Linked DNA regions of Arabidopsis thaliana. The protein of the gene in region 3 purifies or fractionates together with the protein of the main gene of each other region. This does not show direct contact. Each region holds a gene or a part of one and is shown on either strand. Other genes may lie near its edges.

What was found. The genes of interacting proteins can lie anywhere in the genome.
Region 1: the proteins of PGM3 (region 3) and NDPK1 fractionate together in Arabidopsis thaliana (co-fractionation; one large-scale study listed by BioGRID). This does not show direct contact.
Region 2: the proteins of PGM3 (region 3) and OASA1 fractionate together in Arabidopsis thaliana (co-fractionation; one large-scale study listed by BioGRID). This does not show direct contact.

The regions. Positions count from the first base shown.
Region 1 is NC_003075.7:5,921,512-5,924,917, forward strand, and holds NDPK1 (nucleoside diphosphate kinase), read left to right. Parts: upstream 1-1,972; coding exon 1,973-2,023; intron 2,024-2,143; coding exon 2,144-2,192; intron 2,193-2,505; coding exon 2,506-2,855; downstream 2,856-3,406. UniProt on the Arabidopsis thaliana protein: Major role in the synthesis of nucleoside triphosphates other than ATP. The ATP gamma phosphate is transferred to the NDP beta phosphate via a ping-pong mechanism, using a phosphorylated active-site intermediate.
Region 2 is NC_003075.7:8,517,409-8,522,277, forward strand, and holds OASA1 (O-acetylserine (thiol) lyase (OAS-TL)), read right to left. Parts: upstream 3,189-4,869; 5' UTR 2,924-3,188; exon of another isoform or gene 2,729-2,923; intron 2,659-2,728; exon of another isoform or gene 2,656-2,658; 5' UTR 2,643-2,655; coding exon 2,610-2,642; intron 2,523-2,609; coding exon 2,413-2,522; intron 2,326-2,412; coding exon 2,268-2,325; intron 2,188-2,267; coding exon 1,924-2,187; intron 1,833-1,923; coding exon 1,695-1,832; intron 1,598-1,694; coding exon 1,546-1,597; intron 1,417-1,545; coding exon 1,337-1,416; intron 1,230-1,336; coding exon 1,170-1,229; intron 1,083-1,169; coding exon 1,002-1,082; intron 894-1,001; coding exon 801-893; 3' UTR 552-800; downstream 1-551. Other genes in the region: SECE1 (secE/sec61-gamma protein transport protein), read left to right, coding at 1-373; FdC1 (2Fe-2S ferredoxin-like superfamily protein), read left to right, coding at 3,479-3,943; AT4G14900 (FRIGIDA-like protein), read right to left, coding at 4,351-4,866. UniProt on the Arabidopsis thaliana protein: Acts as a major cysteine synthase, probably involved in maintaining organic sulfur level.
Region 3 is NC_003070.9:8,218,194-8,225,097, reverse strand, and holds PGM3 (Phosphoglucomutase/phosphomannomutase family protein), read right to left. Parts: upstream 5,291-6,904; 5' UTR 5,153-5,290; coding exon 5,075-5,152; intron 4,487-5,074; coding exon 4,405-4,486; intron 4,318-4,404; coding exon 4,262-4,317; intron 3,909-4,261; coding exon 3,795-3,908; intron 3,660-3,794; coding exon 3,597-3,659; intron 3,452-3,596; coding exon 3,332-3,451; intron 3,246-3,331; coding exon 3,145-3,245; intron 3,040-3,144; coding exon 2,980-3,039; intron 2,879-2,979; coding exon 2,779-2,878; intron 2,686-2,778; coding exon 2,528-2,685; intron 2,441-2,527; coding exon 2,345-2,440; intron 2,236-2,344; coding exon 2,172-2,235; intron 2,086-2,171; coding exon 2,004-2,085; intron 1,922-2,003; coding exon 1,743-1,921; intron 1,652-1,742; coding exon 1,575-1,651; intron 1,465-1,574; coding exon 1,332-1,464; intron 1,220-1,331; coding exon 1,103-1,219; intron 984-1,102; coding exon 912-983; 3' UTR 551-911; downstream 1-550. Other genes in the region: AT1G23180 (ARM repeat superfamily protein), read right to left, coding at 5,583-6,214, 6,289-6,479, 6,577-6,617, 6,698-6,751, 6,854-6,904. UniProt on the Arabidopsis thaliana protein: Catalyzes the reversible isomerization of alpha-D-glucose 1-phosphate to alpha-D-glucose 6-phosphate. The mechanism proceeds via the intermediate compound alpha-D-glucose 1,6-bisphosphate.

The sequences.
Region 1 (3,406 bases), on a different chromosome or scaffold from region 3:
AATAATAAGTGAAGACTCAATAACACTAAAAATGCAGCGAATATTCTAGCTCTACAATGTTCTTCGGTATAATTAGAGTTAAAAATTTGTGGAGACTATATATAACTCATTTTGCCTCCCATGGGTCATAAGCAAGCAAAAAAAATGGAGCAAACTTTCATCATGTAGAAAACTTGTCTTTCTTTCTTTAATACATATTTGAAGGTCTAAAAGAGTTAGGCAAGATGTGTTAGCGACAGTGTTTTCGAATGTGATGAGAAATAATCTTTAAGAACAAGTGGTTATGTACAAATTTATGCGAATAGATGATAAAGTAGATACAACAAAATGATTGAGTAGCAAGAGATGGAGAAAGAGAACTTTGCTCTATTAAAAAATGTGTTTGAGATCATTTTATCAATTTTTGAAGTAATTGGCTACATCGAATAATTTATGTACTTATATATAGTTTCTATATCAATTCATATACTTGATATATATATTATAAAAAATAAAATCCTTAAAACTACAATTTTTGTTTAGAAAATGTGTTGTGTATATCTTCAACATGAGAGAATGCATCAAAGTGGTGTGATCAAACTCTTTTAATCCAAATCTAACAAATATATTAGGGTTTTGTGCCAACAACCCTCAAAAATATTTTTTTTTGCAACATAACCTTTCATATTAAATACATGTAGGTCAATACTCTGATATCAAAAGTCACCCACAGTATAACCACGTGCATAGATTTTATATAATCTTTGGGCGTGCTTAGATTTTGCAAACCGTATAAGTATGTATATAAGTTATTAAACTACGTCGTTTGAGCATCTTTTCGGAAAATAATACATTACTAGAGTGGATTGGAACCAATAACCTATAATACTAAATAATGCACTTAACCAATTGTGCTGCAAGATTTATTGTTGATATTGCATACCGATAAATATATATTGTGAACATTGCATTCTGGGTTTCTTCATCTTCTTAGGAAATTAGGTTTATTAGCAATCCGAAATCTCTATTCACGTGAACTAGTTTGTTTATCACCACTGATTTCATTATCTTTGGCCATCATCAACAATTTGTAGAGCAAGCAAGGGCTCATTCTCATCGCAATTAATCTATTCTTCATCGAGGAAAGCTCTGAGACGAGGCGTGGGTGGAAGAATTGAGCGTGTTCAGACTTGGGTTTGATCCGATCGTAACCGCTCGCGCTGTTTGTCAAGTTTTATGTTTACAATTCTGAAATAATGTTATTGTTGTATTCGATTCATGTTTAAACTATATATATTAATCGGTTTGTAAAGTTAACAAAATCACTCTGCTCAATTGGTTAAGTAATCTTTGAATAGTTCAATATGCCATGCGTTCAAATCTATTTTCCAACATTATTTTGCGTTTTTGTTTAAAGGCTCAAAACAACGTAGTTTTAATAACCTATATATAAACATACGGTTTGCAAAATCTATACACGTCTAAGAGATATACTATAGGTGACTTTTGAGATCGCAGACCTGCATTTATTTAACTTACATGATTGAGTTACAAAAAAAATTACTTAGAGAATTTTTTGGCACAAAATCCAATTTTTATAACTAATTGAACCTTAAAATAATAATAAGTAAAAGCCGTTTTTTTTGTTAAAAGAAGGCTCAAAACGACGTAATTTTAATAATCATGTACAGATTTATATGATTTGCAAAATCTATACACGTGCAAGAGTTATATTGCGAACGACTTTTAATATCACAGTATTAATCTACGTTTGTTTGACATAAATAATTAAGTTGCAAAAAAATATTATTTGTGTTTTTTTTATGAAGCCCAATATTTTATTTAATTGGGCCTAACATAATAATAAGGGAAGCCCAATAATTTGTAGCAAATATTCTAGGGTTAGAATATTCTTCAACAGAATTAGGGTTACATGTGCGGACTCTATATAAATCTTTTTTGCCTCCTACGAATCACAAGTAATAAGAAAACAATGGAGCAAACTTTTATTATGATCAAGCCTGACGGCGTCCAGAGAGGACTCGTAAGCTTCCCTTTTCTCTTAATACATACTTGTTGATCTTGATCTGATTTTGGTTTTGTATTCAGTTCTTTGGATTGTTTATACTTAAAAGATCGATATGTTTGTGTTTTTTTCTTTCAGATCGGTGAAGTCATCTGCAGGTTTGAGAAGAAGGGTTTCACTTTGAAAGGTAATGATTTCGATTACCAAACTTGATTTTACATTATAATTAGAGGTCTTAGATCTAATTAAAGTCACTTTGTTACTTGAATTGAGATTGTAATGACACTATAGTTGCTTATGGTTTGGTCTAGTTTCTGAACACTAATAGTTTAGTAAAACTTGTTTGACTTGACAAGTATTCTGTGTTGTCTAATAGATTTTAGATTATAGTATCTGTGCATAAGAACTTGTTATTATCTGGACCTTTTGTATTATGTAATTTGGTAGATAAGAGTGTTAGTCTTGTGTTTCTGATCAGTGTAGATTTGTATTTTATACAGGTCTGAAGTTGATCAGTGTAGAGAGATCTTTTGCTGAGAAGCACTACGAAGACTTATCTTCAAAGTCTTTCTTCAGTGGACTCGTTGACTACATTGTATCCGGCCCTGTTGTTGCTATGATCTGGGAAGGAAAGAATGTTGTCTTGACCGGAAGAAAGATCATTGGAGCTACCAACCCAGCAGCTTCTGAGCCTGGAACTATCCGTGGGGACTTTGCTATTGACATTGGCAGGAACGTGATCCATGGTAGTGACTCTGTCGAGAGTGCAAGAAAGGAGATTGCTTTGTGGTTCCCTGATGGACCTGTCAACTGGCAGAGCAGCGTTCACCCTTGGGTCTATGAAACTTGATGATCTGTTGCTTTTTCAGTAGTGTGTTTTCGACATTGCTTGTCTTTTGAACAAGACTTCTATATTTAAGTTGAGTTTGATTATCCTTCTCTACTTTGCTTGCTTGCTACATATGAATACAACAGCTACCAACTGGTGATATAAAATATATCAGTTATTGCAGATACTGAACCAAAATTGACTCTTACCAATGGTTAGATCAAACCTATTTAGTAAACACAAGATCATACTTCTTGTAACCTTGTGTTTCATGAACACATAATGTTGTCAATCTCTTAGATGCTCTCGAAAACTGCGACGTTCGACAAAGTGGCAAGCTTAAGTTGTCTAGTAAGCCATTGTCCAAGTTTGAGGCTGACACCAACTTGAAGGGGGCATACTAGGAGAGAGTGATAAGAAAAGTTTTGAGTATTTGTCTACTGAATTTCAAGCTTACTGATGAACATTGGCAAGCTAAATTTAAATAACTAAATTTTACAATTTTGGTTCTTCAAACTTTAGAGAAGAAAAGAATCCAACGGTCAGGTTCAACTCCAACCCGTCTGTTTCAA
Region 2 (4,869 bases), on a different chromosome or scaffold from region 3:
GGCTATAGAACAGAGACGAGATACAGCTGGATCTGAATCGGAATCAGAAGCGACTCCGTCACCGGCGGAAGAGAGTGGAAGCGGAGAAGATAAGGAAGTGGAGATTAGCGCGATAGGAGCAGAGATAAAAGCAGCGATGGAGCAGAGGAAAACGGCGGAGGAAGAGAAAGGGAAGAACGAGTTTCTTAGTGGAGTTGCGGAGGAAGTGAAGGAGATTGAGTGGCCGGCGTTTCAGAAAGTTCTCGGAACTACCGGCGTCGTGCTCGGTGTTATCGCTGGCTCTAGCGTCGTCTTGCTCACTGTCAATTTCCTTTTGGCTGAACTCTCTGATCGAGTGTTCATCGGAAGAGGTGTTCAAGACTTCTTCAGCTGATCCTGTGAATTGAAAATGGTAAAATTTGTGTGTACAATTTTTAGTGATTGCAATGAGAAATCGAAACATTGTTGATTTGTGTAGATGATGATAAAGAGAATTATCGGAATCACTCCTTTTGAGCATTACCTTCTTCTTATCCTAATCTTATATTTAGCCTGAAATATTGACTTGGGTTATGTTGGTTTAGTTTTGATCATGAAACAGTATGATACTTATGAACAAAGTTACATAGCAAATTTAAACTTCATTAACAAGCAAGTGGTTCACAAAAGAAACAGAGAAAATCTAGTTTGACTTTTATTGGCACACAAGAGAAGATACAGATGGAAGCAAAGACGCAATGTAACTAAAGATGAAGAGTCTCTATAGGAGAAACTGAACATCTCTTTTATTTTGGCGTCTCTTAAGAAGAAATGGAGAATGTTCAAGCCTCGAAGGTCATGGCTTCCGCTTCTTTCCTTGTCGCATCGAAAAGTACCGTTGATAGATACCTCTCCCCGAAACTCGGGAATATCGCCTGTAAAATAATTCAGTTGATTTCGTTTACATCAGAATCAGAAAGAAATCCGGGTTATGTAATCAGAGCTTATTGGCTTTGGGGTGATGATAGAATCAAAGAGCTTACCACAAATAGCTTCCCAGCGTTTTCTGGCCTCTGTGCAAGTTTAATTGCTGCAGCAGCTGCTGCACCGGATGATATTCCCACCTACAGTATAGCTTTTGTTTTTAGAAACAGAACGAAGTTGTAATTCTGATGGAGATAGCTTTTTGTTGTGAAATGTGAAACACTTACAAGAAGACCTTCTTTAAGAGCAAGCTGCCTTGCCATGTCAATGGATTCATCACTTGAAACCTGTTGAAAGCGTTACAGGAAAATGGAGAGAGTCAAGTAAGAAATGAAGCTCTCTTGCATTCAATTGTGTTTTGCTATCAGTCGATAATATCGAAAAGCAGTCTTACCTGAACAACTTCGTCAATAAGATCAACATTCAATACACTTGGTATAAAACCAGCTCCTATCCCTTGAATCTTGTGAGGACCTTGATATTTTCAGCAAACATCATGTGTTAGGAAACTCCGAGGATAAAAAATAAGACATGAGGCAAACCGAGAAACGAGGAACATGCATGCATGGTTATCGTAATAAACGCAGGGGGAACCAAAATCACCTGGCTTCCCACCGGATAGAATAGCACTTTCAACTGGCTCCACTCCATACAGCTAACAGAAGAGGAAACAAAATGAGAAACCGTGCAAAGACACACCACTTAGTCACTTAGATAACAAAGCCAGTTGTTCGAAAAGATGGAGCTCTCACCTTGACGTTTGCGTTCTGTTCTTTAAGATACTTCCCAGCACCTGTAATGGTACCACCAGTACCAATCCCAGAAACAAAGCCATCGATTTTGCCACCAGTGCCTTTCCATATCTCAGGTCCCGTAGTCTCATAGTGGATCTGCATTTGACAGTGAAATTCCATCGACTTAATATGGTTCAAAAACAGACAAAAACAGATACACTAAAGCAATAGTAAATAATAAGCATACCTTAGGGTTGGCAGGGTTCTCAAACTGCTGAAGCATGTAACCATTGGGTGTTTTCGCCAAAATCTCTTCCGCCTTTGCGATAGCTCCTTTCATGCCCTTAGCTGGGTCAGTTAAAACCAACTCAACTCCAAAAGCTAAGAGAATGATTCTTCTCTCAGTACTCATAGAAGCTGGCATTGTAATAATAAGCTTGTAGCCTTTGGCAGCTGCCGTGAATGCTAACCCAACTCCAGTGTTTCCACTTGTTGGCTCAATCAGCACACTCTAAAGAACAAACAAAAAGTCAGAAACAATGAAAACAAAAACAAAATAGTGGTTTGAAGATTCAGATAATCGAAACTGACCTCTCCTGGTTTGATAAGACCCTTCTTTTCTGCATCAGAAATCATGCTAAAACCAATCCTGCAGAAATAAACAAAGTACAAGGTCTTCACAAAACCGAAACTCGAAGCGAGAAACAACACATAGTTTCTGGACTAGAGAAGAAACCTGTCTTTGACGCTAGAGCACGGTTCCATCATCTCAAGCTTAGCAGCAACACGACCAACACATCCTTCAGCAACATTGTTCAAATACACCAATGGAGTGTTCCCAATCAACTGCCAAATAGAATCAATCAATACATGAACATGGAACAAAGCTCACTCCTTCGTGAAATGAACAGTGAAAGAACTTGAAAGCCTTACTTCAGTCACATCTTTAGCAATTCTCGAGGCCATGATTCAAGCTTCACTGCTTAAATTCACAAAAAGAGAAAAGTAAGACCAAAGGAATAAATCATCCTCAAACCAAAAACACATCATACAAAATCATCAAACATAAATCTCCAGATGTATGAGCACCAATCCAGTTATACAACACTCTTAACACCAAATCAACAGATTTAACAGCGAAATAAGCTTAAGCCCATACAATTATCCGATCCAAACAAATATAATCGAAACCGGCAGAGGAATAAGCAAGTGAATCAAAAAGTATGGGACGAGGAAGAAGATGATACCTGAATGAGAAAGTCAATAACCTTGACCCGAATCGTTTTGAAGAAAATGGAGAAAATCGGTTGTATGGAATAAAATCTTCGAATGATGAGATATATGATCTCTTTGGTGTCAGTCACATGGCACACGCTATCAATTTAGAAAAACGCGGTGGTTGGTCACCAGAATTACTACTTCTCGGTCTGATTTGGTCATATCCGTATTAAGTCCGGTTAATATTTTCCATAACTGGGGTTTGAACATTCGGTTTCTTTTTTTCAGTTAGTCCGATTTGGAGTTTTGAGTATGGAAAAATAATACTGAATTTATTTGTTCAAACTGTTTTGGAAAAAATATTTCCCTTAATTACGAATATAATTAAAATTTTAAAATTCATTTTATTAGATCTTGGTTAATTCGGTTTAATGCATTAATGAATTTCGGTTTAAGTCGGTTTTCGGTTTTTATGTCCCACCACTATCTACAACCGATGATCAACCTTATCTCCGTATTCACCACAAACAGTCATCACTCTCACTTGACACAAAAACTCTTTTGTCTCCGTCTCTCTGTCTCTCATGGCGACTCTTCCTCTCCCGACTCAAACTTCTACAATCTCTCTCCCTAAACCTTATCTCTCCAATTCCTTCTCCTTCCCACTCCGTAACGCAACACTCTCAACAACAACAAACCGCCGGAACTTTCTCACCACCGGAAGGATCATAGCTCGGGCATATAAAGTGGTGGTAGAGCACGACGGAAAGACGACTGAATTGGAAGTCGAACCAGACGAGACGATTCTATCTAAGGCTCTTGACTCTGGCCTTGACGTTCCCTACGACTGCAATCTCGGTGTTTGTATGACTTGTCCAGCGAAACTCGTGACCGGAACGGTGGATCAAAGTGGTGGGATGCTAAGTGATGATGTGGTTGAACGTGGCTACACGCTTCTATGTGCTTCGTATCCAACTTCTGATTGTCACATTAAGATGATCCCTGAGGAAGAACTCTTGTCTCTCCAGCTCGCCACTGCCAACGACTAATCATCTTCTTGATTTAGACTAAAGAAGTCTTTTTTTTGGTGTAATACGAACACTTTGTAACGAATCTTGCTATGAGACTTCGAAATCTTGATTTCAATGAGCCAATACAAACAGTGATACATAACATAATCACAGTGAAACATTCCTGGTTTAAGATGAATCTATTAAGTACTGAACTAAATTCGTTGATTGAAACATTAGGAAAGTGAATAGATATGTATAATTTAGATTAATAAACACACAAGGGTAGACTAATTCAGAACCAGAAAGAGTGAGAGTGTTAGCTACAAATGATACGATATAAAAAAAGAGAGATTACAACAAAAACGAGGTAGAGACAAAACGTAGACACCAGAGATCAGTGGTTGGTTACTTACCATCTTCTTTTTTCCTTTGTCATTGTCTAATCAGTAGTAAGCATGCTGAATATGGTGGTGGTGGTGCGGGTGAGGATGGTAAACTGGAGGGGGTGGAGCAGCCACCGGACTGCAGTAGGTACCATATGCTGTCGGATAACTGACCGGAGAGGTTTGGTAAGAACCATGAACCGCCTCGGGTGAGTATTGGTATGGAGGGCTCCTGTTGCTGTAGATGGTAGGTGGGGATGTGGTGTATGCTGGTACACCGTATTGAGGTGAGTGACTTTGGGATCTGATGAATGTTGGTGGAGGCGGTGGGAAAGAGGAGACGTAAGCGTTTGTGATACGCCCTGCTTTGGCTGGTGGCATTGGACCGCTGTAGCTTGCTCGGGTTCTCTTGTTGGCGGGAATCACGGCTGGTTTTCTCTTCTCGGTTTTGGTCTTCTCTAGCTGATCCAACCTCTTCTTGAGATTCTCGGGTGGGAATTCTTCCTCGAGTTTGTATTCTTCTATGCATTTTAAGACTGCTCTAAGTGCTGATTGCTCTTTGCGCGCCACAAGATGCTA
Region 3 (6,904 bases):
TTTCATATGCATAGCTTTTTCGAGAAAACAAAATATATTGCACGATTATATAATCAAATTCTTTTTTTTCTCACGTTCATATATTATGTATATGAATATGATTTATACGACCACTCAATTAGTCACATGTTATTGATACTTGACAGAACTCATTATGTCTGAATTTGGATTTGAAATATACTGATAGGTCAATGATACAAATATTTGATACTAAAACTCAAAAGAGAAAGAAATCGAGTATAAGAAAGATATACTTACACGAAATAAAGGATAGTGTGGTTTAAGTGGAGTAGAAAGTTGAATGAAGCTTCGTTCTAGATATGGAAGGTCCGGTGGGAGAATTAGGGTTGTGTACGACTCTAACCAAATCTTTGGGTTTCCTTGTTCCAATTCTCTATATTCGTTTCGAAAGCAACACATACATATATTGAATCTTCCATTTATTCTCTTTCGTTTTCAAGTTCGACGTCTCTCCCACTTTTCAAAAGAGAAGTAATAAAAAATGGCTTTCGTCCATATATTATGGTATCATGCATTGAAAACCATGCAACATCAAACCAAAACACGAGAGGGTGCATTTTCATGAGTACCCATTTGAAGTAATTAGACAACTCTGAGATTTGTCAATGGATGGTCGTAGCATGCTTTGAGGTATCAATGAACTTAGATGTTAAGAGAGTATACTCGCCAAAATACGGAAACAAGAGAGAACAAAACTGAGAAAGCCAAATCCGTACAAGTATAAGCCTCACAACAACTCAAGAAATCAGTCTTGGTTGTTCAGAATTCTGATGAGAAATACAAATTCTCCCTGAGACTAATTATTCTTATAATGTAACTTGGATAGTATAAGAAGAAAACATCATATAGACGAAAAGGTGAATGGTTTGAGTCGTTGAGCTTGACCCTTCTTATGTTATGACGGTGGGGGCTGATCGGCCTGTGAACTCTTCCATCTTCGACAGCTTTAGAGCTAAGTCAACCTGTGAATCACACATCAACAATTACGTATTTGATTAGAGAAAACCCCTTTGGTATTAGCTAAATGGTAATGAGTCGGAAAACAGTTTATGGATTTGAGGTTTTATAGTAAGCAACTGACCAGAGGAGACAAAGCTTCCTGGGATTCTCGGCCGGTTTTTGAAGCATCCTTTTCGTACTGTTCGATGTAAAGCCGGATGGTTGCTCCTTCTGAGCCAGTTCCAGAGAGACGGAAAACCTTCATATGGTTTCAGATATAACAAGAGAGGATTAGTTAGTTTTGATTTCTATCACTTTGTTCTTAGCTGGAATGTATCCAAGCTCAAATACCGAAGAAAAAGATGACTTACAAGTCGTGATCCGTCTTCAAACAAGTAACGGATTCCCTGGTGCTTCGAAATGGATCCATCAACTGGATCTTTGTACTCGAATTCATCAGCACTGGCGACGCTTGCCACGTCCGAACGAATTCCTTTCACAATCCTGAATAAAATCAAGAGAGAAGAAGAGGTTAGAAAAACAGAGTACCAAACTGATGAGTACGTGTTCAAGTATAAAAGGAAGGGATTTCAGAGAAGTGGAAGTGTGTGTACTTGTTAACTTCAGGAATTGAAGATTGCAATTTGACCAAATGCTCCATCAGTTCCTTAGCTTTACCTGCGTCTACATTCTTTAGAGACAAATTTTGAGATGTCAGTAAGGGTACTGTTTCTTCCATATAATATGGTATAATTACAATCACCAAACTTAGCAACTTTTACCTCATAGTCGTAACGAGTGTAATAGTGACGACCGTAGGTAGCCCAATGCTGGCGGACAATGTCTTCAACTGACACCAGTTTAGCGTTACCGTCAATATTTCCCTTGTTCTTGTGAGCAAGTATAGACATCCATGCAAGAACTGCCCATATTCCGTCTTTCTCACGGATATGATCCGAGCCTGTGAAAGATCTTTCTTTCAGAACTGTATAGGTTGTTTTAAAGTTATGAACAGATGTGTGAGTGTGGAAATAGAAACTGACCAGTTCCAAAACTTTCTTCTCCACAAACAGAACACATCCCAGCATCCATCAGATTACCAAAAAACTTCCAGCCTGTTGGAACCTGATATGTGATTTAATAGAGATATGAAATTAAATTATGTAGTTAGGAGAAAAGAAGCTGGATAGAAGTTGCACGGTGACATGTACCTCAAAGAACTTCAAATTCAAGCTTTTTGCAACGACATCAAGAGCAGCTGAGGTTGGCATGCTCCTAAAACAAGAAGTGGAAGTTACAAAATAATCCACAAAAAAGATATATTAAAAGAGTTGTATACACAGAATTCTACTAGAAGTAAAAAAAGAGCCCAGGTGTATAATACCTTGCAACACCTTTCAAACCAGAGCTGAAGTACGGGATGGCACCAATAGCATTTGCAGCAATTATGGCAACTGAATCCGAAGGAGTTACAAAGAACCTACAAATGAAGAGATACTTTAAGTTTAAAAGTACTTGGTATACTAGTTCCATGGATGTATCTCTCTTGAAAACGTCAGTAAGCTACCTTTTACCAAGGATCATGTTACGGTCTGCATCACCATCAGCAGCGGCGCCAAACTCTGGAGGTTCACCTCCAGTGTCGGATTTACCTAATCCCATTCGTGCCACAAGCTCCTTAGCATAGGTCAAATTGGGATCCGGATGCCCTCCTCCAAAGTCCTCCTGCAAATCGTTGTATTGTGGTAAATATTGAGCCTGGAGGTGTATTTGTAATCATTTATGGAATAGCGTTTCTTGGTTAGACAAAAATAAGACCTTGGGAGTGCAGTTCAATAATGCGCTTTCTTGCGCACCGAGTTCTTCGACAAAGATGCGATGTGCATAGGCTCCAGCAACTCCATGCAATGCATCATAGCTTCATAAAACAAAGTAAAATATAACATTACAGTGATGGAACATATATTACAAAACTTAACTCAAATGGAAAAGGTTTGGGAACCAATGTTAGTTACATACCAGAATGTAAACTTTGGAGATGATAGCAATTTCCGGATGGCTTCAAAATCGAAGATTGACCTTGAAGGAGCGAGAATTTTTCTTTAGAAAGATCATAAAAATTGCACATAGACCATAGAGGGAGCAGATTCCAGAATCATGCTTTTAAATTGAGGGACCACTCACTTCATTAATTTAACGTAGTCATCTGCGGGATCAAAAACTTCAACATCAAATTTTCCTTCAGGTCCTTCAAAACTGGTTACACCAACAGCAGAAATATCAACCTGTCGCATTCATCAGATAGACCAGATCAACTATGATTCAACAAAAGACAGATGATGGAAATCTATAAGAGGATTCTTAAGAATACATTGGGTAGATCTTGTGCTATTGGGTACTCCTTGATTGTCTTAGTGTTCTCGTAAATTTTATCAGTGATTGATTCAGGAGCAGGTCCTCCATTTTCCATATTGTATTTGATTCCAAAATCCTGTACAAGGGGTATGGAATCACCTCTTAGTCTTATTATCCATCTAGATATCTTATTATTAAAAAAAGAACAAATAAAGAGATACAAAACGAATAGTTCAAATGAAAGGATAGCACAGTAGAGATGGAACAAGAACAGAACGGACCTCAGTAGGGCCACCAGGATTGTGGCTTGCTGTTAAGATAAATGCTCCAGTTGCTTTCGATCCCTGTAATCGGAGACTGGGGTTAAGTAACTCAAAACCATCATTACATTTTGCGTCATGCACAAACATAGCAAATAACCAAAAAAAACAAAAAACAAAATGTCACTACAACCATGAGCATAGAGAAAGAAATCTCACATCAGCCCCTGATCTTTCACGAATCACAGCTGATACAGCAGGAGTTGATAACAGAGTGTTTTTACCAACCCACACACGTCGTACACCATTAGCTGCTGCCATCTTAATTATGATCTGTTAAGATACAAAATAAAATTGTATGAAAAGCAGTAAAACATCTTCATCTGTAACAGTATGAACCGGATTTGTAATAGGAGTAGATCAAACAAACTTAAGTTTCAGAGATTTCAAAGTCAAACAAAACTTTAACTTCTATAAACCTCTAATCTCTCTATAGAGGTTTCGATGCAAATTTTAGAGATGAACACAAAGAAAAATAAGCAAGGCATTGATGATAATAGCAGGCCTTCCTAACACAGGAGTTCCCTCCAAAACATTGTAAATACATGAGCACTAATTCATAATTCTATGGATACGCCAATTACATTCACACAGATCCAGAAGACAGGGAATATCATCGGCCTTACCTGAACAGCATCCTTTGAGTAATAACGACCATCACCAGAGACCACAAGTGTGGCACCTGCACATATGAACAATAAACACTCATGAATTTTTCGAATGAGCAGATATCTCTGAGAAGCTAAGATGAGTATGAAAAAAATCTCACCTTTAACTTTCTCCGCCGTAAGAGCATTGAATGTTGCTTGGACAAAATTCTCTAGATAATTGGGTTGCTTGAACACTTTCACCTACACAGTTAGAAAAAAAAAAAAAAATACTAATCAGAGATACAAAAAGATGCTAGTTTGATATCTGCAGAGAGTAGAACAAACAATCGACACTCGATTGATTGGATAAAATGATCAACCCAAATTTCTTTTATCAAAATATCTGAAACAGATCTGATCAGTGAGTCTCAATAAACGTCATTGCAGATCGTATATACGTTAAACGAAGATCTGACAATAACAACTAGGCTCTTCCCTAGTTTCAATTATACACAAATTCAATCCATATAGTCTCCATTTCGCTACACCAACTCAAAAAACGTAATTTCAAGCTCTATCAAATCAACATTCACCACATAGAAGCGTCCCAAACATATACTCAAATCAAATATAATAAACGTGATCTCGAACTTGATCCAAATAAAATAACGAAAACGAAATTTAAAATTTGTCATCATTCACTAATCAATATAGATTAATGCATAGATCAAATCTAATCAGATGGTCAATCTCACTTCAAAATCACACTCAAGAAAATCTAAACAGATCTGATCCAGATGCAACAATTCGATTTCGTTTGATTCAGAAGACAAGGATCGATCAACGAACCTTCTTACGAAGACCAGAAGTTCCTGGTTTCTGGCCATCAATAGGAGATGTGGATACGGTAGAAACCTTGAAAACCATATTCGCTTTGAGAAGAACAAAGATCAAAATTTGGACGCAGAGAGAGTGATGATGATAAAAGCAAGCAGCTCTTAAATAAATTACGCAAAAGAGAAGCTTGCTTAAAAGCTAAACGATCCCAAGACACGTGTAACCAAGTGAGTGAACTAGAACGTTTCTCTCGTTTTCACTGACACAGTAAGAAAATCTCAGCCGTTGGATTGTATTTTCAGATTTTAAATTCATTTTTGCTTGCGTAACATTTCAAAGATTAAATATTTGATTGATCATGTGTAATCTCTAGAATATGGTAATAGTAATATACGTGCTACGTAATCCGATTATCTTAATGTAATTAACTTTTCGTATATTCGTCTCACATGACAAATCATACATTATATTATTCTAATTGATTCCAAAATTTTACATGACAATAATCTGTAAAAATGTCTTAAACGGGTAAATTTCTGAGTAACCGAAGAGCTTTCTCCCATTGTGGTCGTTGAGACATAACGATACGTCTCAATACTGGTACAGCTCCTGCTCTTATGATGGCTGTGTGGTTCTCACTGTCCATGGTTAAGTTGTACAATACTGACAAACTCGCTTCAACGCACCGCTCGTTCCTTTCTTCAAGAAGCTTAACCAGCGGTTCGATACCTCCTTGTGAAGCAAGTGTTTGGATAGATTCTGGAACTCCCTCGGAGACTATCTTGTTCAGTTCTAAAACCGCTGCTTCTTTCGTTTCTGGTGATGAGGAAAAGCTCATTTGTTCCACGAGGCTCGGGATCGTTTTGTACAGAGTTACCTCAAGATTGATCGGATTGTTGAGGGATTGAGAGGGAGAGGAGAGAGCGGTGAGTTTGACAAGACAAGCGGCAACCCAGTCTTTGTAGTGTAGAGGGAGGCTTGATCTTAGGATCTTCCTTACTAATTCTATGAAGACCGCGGTATCTATTGTTTGGCGAAAGGACTCGGAGTCAAGAAGTTTTGTCAGTAGCCTTGAAGCAGCGGAAATCGTCAAACCAGCTTCTTCTAGCTTAAGCAGATGTTTCTCTAACTCCTCAGCTTCATTCTCAGGTTCTGCATTTCCATAAAAAGTATTGTATGCTGTTATAAAATTCAAACAGAGTTATATCAAAAGATAAGTTTTGTACCTTCCAGGACTTTCTGCCGGAGAGCAAGATCAAGAACAGTTGTGATATCCTTGGAGATGATCGTGTCCATGTTTGGATTACTGATTATACCAAACTCGATGACAGAGATTGCGTTTCTTAGCAGGTTCGGAGAGGCTGTTTTCGCAATCTGGACGAGCCGAGAAAAAACAGCAGCGTCCAGAACTTCCTTTCTGTTCATTCCCATCCGATGTTTTGAGTAATTAATACTTCTAAAAAAACAAAAAGAATGAATGAGCTGAAGATAGGAAGATCGAGAAGAAGACTGACCTGGAGTCTGCTTTTGATCCGTTCACCGGTCCTTCATAAAACTGTAGCATGTAGAGAAATAGCATAAGCCAAATGAAAGCAGATTTAATGTATAATAATCAACCTTGGAAAATAAACACACCTTGGATTCCATTTCCTTGCTAGGATCTAAGATATGAGCAATTATATCCAGAACCTGCATAACATAGTTCACAAAATACCATTTCACGTCCAGTTATTCCATAATAGCCTAGACAAAGATATCAAAGAACAAAGGAAGAAGAAAATGAAGTCATACGTGTTCTGTAACGTTTAGTGAGATCTCTGGCTGCTTCAGAAGATTAATAAG